Linked DNA regions of Bombyx mori. The protein of the gene in region 2 purifies or fractionates together with the protein of the main gene of each other region. This does not show direct contact. Links are inferred from orthologs where the notes say so. Each region holds a gene or a part of one and is shown on either strand. Other genes may lie near its edges.

Evidence for each region.
Region 1: the proteins of ATP-dependent RNA helicase WM6 (region 2) and MLE purify together in Homo sapiens (affinity purification with mass spectrometry, with the first as the bait; 3 studies listed by BioGRID). This does not show direct contact. The link is inferred for Bombyx mori from reciprocal best matches to the Homo sapiens genes DDX39B and DHX9.

Annotation. Positions count from the first base shown.
Region 1 is NC_085132.1:4,397,656-4,401,867, forward strand, and holds part of MLE (MLE protein), read left to right. Parts: intron 1-369; coding exon 370-500; intron 501-1,421; coding exon 1,422-1,591; intron 1,592-2,641; coding exon 2,642-2,835; intron 2,836-3,453; coding exon 3,454-3,568; intron 3,569-4,212. UniProt on the Homo sapiens protein: Multifunctional ATP-dependent nucleic acid helicase that unwinds DNA and RNA in a 3' to 5' direction and that plays important roles in many processes, such as DNA replication, transcriptional activation, post-transcriptional RNA regulation, mRNA translation and RNA-mediated gene silencing.
Region 2 is NC_085122.1:1,017,570-1,021,790, reverse strand, and holds ATP-dependent RNA helicase WM6, read right to left. Parts: upstream 2,497-4,221; 5' UTR 2,105-2,496; coding exon 827-2,104; 3' UTR 677-826; downstream 1-676. UniProt on the Homo sapiens protein: Involved in nuclear export of spliced and unspliced mRNA. Component of the TREX complex which is thought to couple mRNA transcription, processing and nuclear export, and specifically associates with spliced mRNA and not with unspliced pre-mRNA.

The DNA.
Region 1 (4,212 bases), on a different chromosome or scaffold from region 2:
TAATGTACCGAAAAGCGATCGGATCAAAGTCAAGTCAAAGGTCGCACGCCAAAGCGGACTTTAGTGGATCCTAAATGAAAACATGACATATTAGATAGGAGCACTCGAATGGGAGTACTCGAAAAAAATAAATAAACAGATACATACTGCCGCCCGTTTCTTTATGTCCCGAAGTAGTCATTCACCCCGCTGTGGAAGGTGCAACGGTTACTATACAATGCTATTGAGACTTCATTCTTCAGTTTCAAGGTTGATGGCGGTAATCTCTATGGACCCCGGTGATCTCTGAGCAACAAATGGTCCGTGTATAAATAAAAAAATTAATGTCTTAAAAAATAAATGAAGGTAATATGATATTATTTGTTACAGCGCAAGGGGCGTGCGGGGCGCGTGCGGCCCGGCGTGTGCTTCACGCTGTGCACGTACGCGCGCTACGAGAAACTTGAGGAACATTTGGCCGCCGAAATGTTTAGGACTCCGCTACACGAGCTTGCTTTGAGGTAGTCTTTTTTATTTTTTTATTGCCCTTGTAGGCAGACGAGCATACGGCCCACCTGATGGTGAGTGGTTACCGTCGCCCATAGACTTCAGCAATGACAGGGGCAGAGCCAAGCCGCTGCCTACAGCTGTCTCAAGTTCTGAAGTTGTCGTGGCCTAAAGGATAAGACGTCCGGTGCAATCGTATGTAGCGATGCAACGGTGTTCGAGTCCCGCAGGCGGGTGTCAATTTTTCTAATAAAATACGTACTTAACAAATGTTCACGATTGACTTCCATGGTGAAGGAATAACATCGTGTAATAAAAATCAAACCCGGAAAATTATAAATTGCGTAATTACTGGTGGTAGGACCTAGGACATTAGATACACCTATTATGGAAGATAGCTCTTTTGCAACTATTAAAGGTAGTTTTCTTAAGCCAAGGTCTAGGTCTACTACTGGTGGTAGGACCTCTTGTGAGACCGCATGGGTAGGTACCACCACCCCGCCTATTTCTGCTATGAAGCAGTAATGCGATTCGGTTTGAAGGGTGGGGCAGCCGTTGTAGCTATACTGGGAACTTAGAACTCATATCTCAAGGTGGATGGCGGCATTTACTTTGTATATGTCTATGGGCTTCAGTAACCACTTAACACCAGGTGGGCTGTGTGCTCGTCCACCCATCTAAGTAATAAAAAAGTAAAAAAAAAAACTTTTTTTTCTACCTAAGCTGATGGTCTAAGCTCCAGAACATGAATGCGCCACCCAGCTTGAGATATGACTTTTAAGATCTCAGTATAGTTACAACGGCTGCCGCGCTCTTCAAACCGAAACGCGTTATTGCCTCATGGCAGAAATGGGCAGGGCCGCGCGGACTCACAAGAGATCCTACCACTGGTGCTCTATAATTTGTTTGTTTAATGTGTGAATTTTAATTGACAGCATAAAGCTCCTCCGCCTGGGTGCGATCGGTCACTTCCTGTCGAAGGCCCCGGAGCCCCCGCCGCTGGACGCTGTCATCGAGGCGGAGGCTCTGCTCCGCGAGCTGGGCTGTCTGGACGCCGAGGACGCGCTCACGCCACTCGGGACCATCCTCGCCAAGCTGCCGATAGGTGACTGCGGCTTTTGTAGCCCTTTTTTTTTTTAAGTAATACTTCTTTAGGCGCGTTATGAAAAATTGATGAGAGTGAAATTTTACATTACGCTAATTACAATACCACCGACGTAACTTGGCGAGTCTGAATATAGCCGCAGGTGAACTTTCCGAACCGTACCGAGAATTACCGAATTTATACGATGTCAACAAAAGGGATGTCCAATATGCGTGTTTGAGGATGTTGTTTAATCGTTTTTTTGTTTTTCAAATGGATTAAAATTTAAATAAAAAAAAAGAAATAAATGTAATAAAAATAAAGTATAACTTCTTACGCGCGTACACGCACCCTTTTTTTTTAACACTGGGGAATCCATTTACGAATACCCGGTACGGGGGGGGGGGGTAACGAACCGGGTTATATAGGACTCCGACTACTCCGGAGATGAAGAGAGGGACGACGAGGCTTTTGTAGCCCTGCTATTGTTGATGTCCATGGACGACTGCGCTTTCGGTCTAGTCACCGTGCTTCTGATAAATGTATAAACCTCTTTGCGTTACGGATATGTAAGAATAAAGATATCATAATACTAGCTGACCCGGCAGACTTCGTAGTGCCTCAATCGATAAATAAAAGACCTAAATTTTTGTATAAAATAAAATTAAAACAAACAAAAGGAATCTGTCCGACGGGGGACACATCAAAGGAAAAACAAAATTATTATTTTCATTTAATTCTGAGCATTTTCATATTTATCTACCTTTTAAAACTTGTCTGGACTTCCACAAATAATTCAAGACCAAAATTAGCCAAATCGGTCCAGCCGCTCTCGAGTTTTAGCGAAACAACGAACAGCAATTCATTTTTATATATATAGATATGGGTGGACGAGCTTACAGCCCACCTTGAGTTAAAAGTTCTAAGGTCTCAAGTAAAGTTACAACGGTCGCCCCACCCTTCAAACCGAAACGCATTACTGCTTCAAGGCAGAAATAAGCAGGATGGTGGTACCTACCCGCGTGGACTCACAAGAGTTCCTACCACCAGTAATGACATGCTCCATTTCAGAACCTCGCCTCGGCAAAATGATGGTGTTAGGCTTTGTGCTTGGCGTTGGAGACGCCCTGACCACGATGGCGGCTAATTCTACAACGTTCCCGGAAATATTCGTGCTCGAAGGCCGGAGGAGACTGTCGATGCACCAGAGAGCCCTGGGCGGAGACCGGGCCTCCGACCACGTGGCCATGTTGAATGCATTCCAGGTACTTCATATATTTATATATTATATATATTTTTTGTGTTTATCGATTCATGCGTATATTATGTACTAACAACTTACGTCACAAACGTGATGTGTGGAAGTCTATTTTTGAAGTGAGACTTCTAATGCGACTTCCAACAAGGTTGCGTTAAACATTTAACGCTGCCATGGAATAGAAAGAGACAGCGCGAGAGTGAAGGCGTGCCACTCGAGCGCATGCGCGTAGTATGACCTATTTACAGGCCAGCGAGAGCGTTAGTAACGAGCAGCGTCCAATATTTTACTGAAGTATTCAAAAATATATATATATATATTTTTCTATCTATAATTTAAAATATATATAATATAAATGTTGAAGATGACGCATCTCTTATACACAACATTCCCTGTTACAAGAGCAATCTGATTTAAGGATGAAAAACGAAGAAAACTACAATACTACACATCGAAATAGTAGTTACACTTCATTCACGTGCACCAAGTTGCACGCGCACCGTTTTTGTACATATTATGTTACTGTTAATTTATCTTTAGGCAAGCTAACAAAGTTTCCATAGAGGCGTGGCTGTTTCCGTAGTGAAATAAAATTGTATTATAATTTTGTTTATGCTTCACCTAGATGTGGGAGAGAGAACACAACAAAGGCGAAGAGGCAGAGCTACGGTGGTGCGAATGGAAGGGCGTACAGCAGACCACGCTGCGTGTTACTTACGAGGCTAAACATCAATTGATAAGTGAGTAATAAATATGTACACAAGACTTTTTTTTTCGTTCCTAAACTGAGACTCTTGAGAGGCTATATCAGCGGAACCTTAACTAGTAGGTGAACTCACGGGGCTCAAAACTGACGACATTGCTAACACGAACCCTAGTAAGAGCAGTGCTTCGGAGAATCTACCACCGGATCGGAAACGCGACCCACTCAGAAGATCCGGCGAGAAACTCAGTGGGCTGTGTCTGTGGGTTTATTTACTCGTCAAGCCCTTCGTCGCAAGCAACGGGTTCGACGAGAACGATGACCGGGCACACAAGCCATTTAAGCTTGCACCGTATTTAACTGTGTTTAGAACTTATTTTTGGGACCTAGATTTTTTTTTAAATCTGGAAATGAGTTATATGATAAGTCGTGTGCTTTTAAAAATTCTTTGAGTGTTTCGGAATAATAGAAACACTGCATGTCATTTGGATTCTATGTATATTGAAACACCACAGTTATCACCGGGTCAAGTAATTACACAGTATTGGTTTTATAATTCTGAATTGTATCAACCGCAGAAAAATTAAATCAAAATTCCATATCTGTCAATAAGTCTATATAACTTGAGTGCGTGTGTGTTTTTTGGTCATAGACTTAATGGTTATAGTGGTGGCAATGTTG
Region 2 (4,221 bases):
AATTAAATGCAGGACTATAAGCTTAATTTAAATATTTATTTTGTATGCAAATGGTGCTAAAATAAAGTATGTTTTTAGCATTATCGCTTTTTCGTCTTTTGTGAACATAGATTAAAATGCCAGTTTATATAATAAAAAAATCTTTGGACGTGTTTCTAATTTAGTTTAATTAAATCAATATAGTGTAGGCAGACAATTATAGATTTTGATTTTGTAGTGGATACCAGTTACTGGACATGGGCCTTCTGTACTTTTCAGTTAAAACTGGTCGCGTTCCTGTATAATTATCCTATAGCAAGGCTCTAAAAACAGTAATTTCTTGAAACTACTTGCACCCCACCTCTCACACTGTACGTAGGTACTCTAAATTAAATTATGGCTTGTTTTATTCTGAAGTTTTTAGGCATGAAATTTTATCCAAATGCATCCAGTAGTATTTGTGTGAAGTATTAACATCCAATATCAGTAAATTTTGCATGTCTAAGAATATAAAAATATGAAGTCATAAAGACAAAATGATATGTTCAAAATGGATATTTTGTTACATTAATATGAACATGGTCAAAATAAATATATCAATTTCCTGTCTACATTCTAAAGTTAAACATATCACAGCCTGTCTTACTGATAACGATGAAAGCTCCCAAATTGTTGGTAAAGAAATAAAACACTCAGATATCACAATATGAAATGTCACTTTAATTAGATAAACCTAGTTAAACAGTAAATGTGGCTCAATGTATTACAAATCAATGTTAAAGCAGGCCAGTCTAATTACCAACAAAATGAGCCACAGCAGTAAATAGGTATGGGAATGAAACTTAATCTATCGTCCTTCGATGTAGGTAGAGAGCTCAATTTCTTCAGGCAGCTCTGTAATGTTCACATCGAAACGATCTTGTACTTGGTTTAAGATCTTGGCATCATTTTCATCAGATATCATAGTAATGGCCAGACCTTTGGTACCAAACCTTCCTGCGCGGGCGACACGATGTAGATATGTATCTGAATCTTCAGGCATGTCATAGTTGAAGACAATATTTACCCTTTCAATGTCCATTCCCCGGCCAAACAAATTTGTTGCAACCAGGATCCTTTTTTGGAAGTCCTTGAACTGTTGATAGCGGGAGAGACGCTCATCCTGGGTCATATTTCTGTGGATACCAATGGCAGGGAAGTTTTGGTCGGTGAGCAGTTGTGCCAGAGCTATGCAGCGCTGTACTGATTTCACAAAAATAACCACCTGATTGAACTCCAATACATCAAGTAGTTCGAAGAGTTTTTTATTCTTCTCATTTTCTTTTAGTTTCACATAATGTTGCTGCAGTCCATGTAGCTTGAGTTTGGCTTCATCATCTACATAAACTTCCATTGGGTCTTGCATAAATTTCTTACACACAGGTCTGATTTCTTTACTCAATGTGGCTGAGAACATCATCACCTGTTTCCCGTGAGGAGTGTTCCGGAATATCTCCTGCACATCTCGCCTCATGTCTAGAGATTCCAGCATCTTATCACACTCATCAAGGATGAAGTGTTTTAAATGTTTCAAATTAAGTTTCTTACTGTTTACTAATGCCAAAATTCTACCGGGAGTTCCCACTACAATGTGAGGACATGCTGTCTTAAGGACTTCCTCGTCTTTCTGAATTGGCATACCACCAAAGAATACTGATACTCTGACTCCTGACATATATTTCGAGAAACGCTCGTACTCCTTACTTATTTGGAAAGCCAACTCTCTGGTGTGGCACATTACAAGCACGTAAACGTGGCTCTCGGAGGGTTCCAGCTGCTGCAATGTTGCCAAAACAAACACGGCTGTCTTACCCATACCGGACTTGGCTTGGCAAAGTATGTCCATACCGAGGACGGCTTGCGGAATGCATTCGTGTTGAACTTCGGAAGGATGCTCAAAACCGCAATCAACAATAGCGCGGAGTATCTCTGGCTTAAGTAAGAAGTCTCTAAAACCAGAACTGTGGATGGATACGTAGGATCCTTTAACCTCCTTCTTTGGCGCCACTTCGGTAGACCCGTCAGCAGTCTGTTGATCTGCTTGTTCTTCATCTTCGTAGTCGAGAAGATCGTCGTTGTCAGCCATGATTTACTTTAGTTTAATTAGCTTGTTTACTGTATCGTACTCACTGTGAGCACGTGAAATTTATTTTTACAATACGATTTCACAATAATGGCGGCTTCGGCTTTTTTGGCGTCAATCCAAACTTTTTTTGTTATGTTTGACAGTTAAATATGACGTGCCACTTGGCTTTTTCGCCACTCAACAGTTTACGAGAATTAAATTTGCAATTTGATTTTTGATTAATTTGAAATTTTATTTGTGTAAAGTAAAAAGAAGAACACAGGCGAACAGCTATAATGCAATCATAGTTTTTATTTTCACGTGAGCACGTGAATAATATGTCTTTTATATGATTTTTTTCATGTCATATTATTTTTTGAAATGACCCATTTTATGAGTATTTAAAAATGAAATACTTAGAGCAGTGATTATCAAACTTATTTCTTTTACCGCCCCCTTTGAATATCAATTATTTTTCAGCGCCCCCCATTTTTTATACACCCCTAAAACTTTAAAACCACAATTTCATTAATTTAATTAATAAATGTTGTATTAATTTTATTAAATGTAGTACCACGTAGTACATATATATTTGTAGATGCTATTATTGTTTCTTCATATTATTATATGTCCGTACATTGCTACAGAGCGTGTATTTACAAATTTGCAAAGTAAAAATGAATTCTTCTCATCAATATGTTTGTTTAAATTCAGAATTACCAAAATAAATTGCTAGTTCACTGTACTATTACTATGCTAATTTATTAGAACGAAACTATTTTTGTTGAATATCTTTCTCATTAATATAAGATTCTCATCATAAGATAATTAAAAATTTATATTTCGACTAGTAAATAATACTACTAACAATAATAACTTATTAAACTACGAATAAGCTAAACCTGGAAGACGTAGAGGATTTCATTTATCTGGGCTCCGTCATAGCTAGTAATGGAACCTCCGAAAAGGACCTCAGAAGGCGAATCAGTATGGCAAAGAGGGCTATGTTCCAAATGGACTGTGCTTGGGTGGCATTTTTTTCTACGGCGCAGAGACTTGGACCCTCAAGAAAGCCGACCGCCAACGCATCGACGCGTTTGAGATGTGGTGCTGGAGGAAAATGCTCGGGATTCGTTGGACAGAACACAGAACCAACGAATCCATTCTTACCGAGCTCAAGATTCCAATGCGCCTCCGCACTACATGCGCGCGGAGGAGTTTAGAGATCTTTGGACATATCGCCAGAAAGAGAGGTGAGAATCTGGAAAAGTTGCTGGTAACAGGCAAGGTATGCGGGAGAGGGCACAGAGGCAGAAATCCAATGCGCTGGTCGGACCAAATACGCTCCACTCTCAAAACTTCAGTCCACGTTGCTATCCATACAGCCGAGGACAGGCAGGAATGGCGCAAGATGATGCAGGAGAAAGTTATTAGAGGAGGCCGCGACCCTCAGCACTGAGGATTATCGACGCAAGAAGGAAGGAAACTACGAAAAACAAATTAATATCATTTCGTATTATAGATAAATATGGGTAATTTTTCATAGAATTTTAGTTTATAATTTAGAACTGGTTCAAATAAAAACCGCCACCTAAGTCAGCGTTTTTATTATTTGTAATAATTAATATCTGTACTAATATTATAAAGAGGAAAGTTTTGTTAGTTTGTATTAAATAGGCTCCGAAACTACTAAGCCGATTGGAAAAATTCTTTCACTGTTTGGAAGCTTCACTATTCCCGAGTGACGTAGACTATAACCTTTTTTAAAAAAAAATTGGGTATCCTTACTAAAACTCCAATAATTTAACCCAAGGTGTAAAAAAAATTACCTAAAATATTCTTTACGTCGCGTGCCCTACGAAAACTATTGATGATAGAATAAAATAATGGGACACAGGAGTTTTGCTGAGTTTGCTCGTCTTGCCACCGCTCGGGTGGCGCATGTCGTCGGTAAAATCAGGAAATCGGGCCTCGACGTGACACTCAGTAAATCCGAGGCCATGTGGTTCCACAGGCCGCGGAGAGTGCCACCTATCGATGCCCATATCGTGGTTGGAGGCATCCGTATCGGGTCGGGGTGCAGTTGAAGTACCTCGGCCTCATTCTGGACAGTCGTTGGACCTTCCGTGTTCACTTTC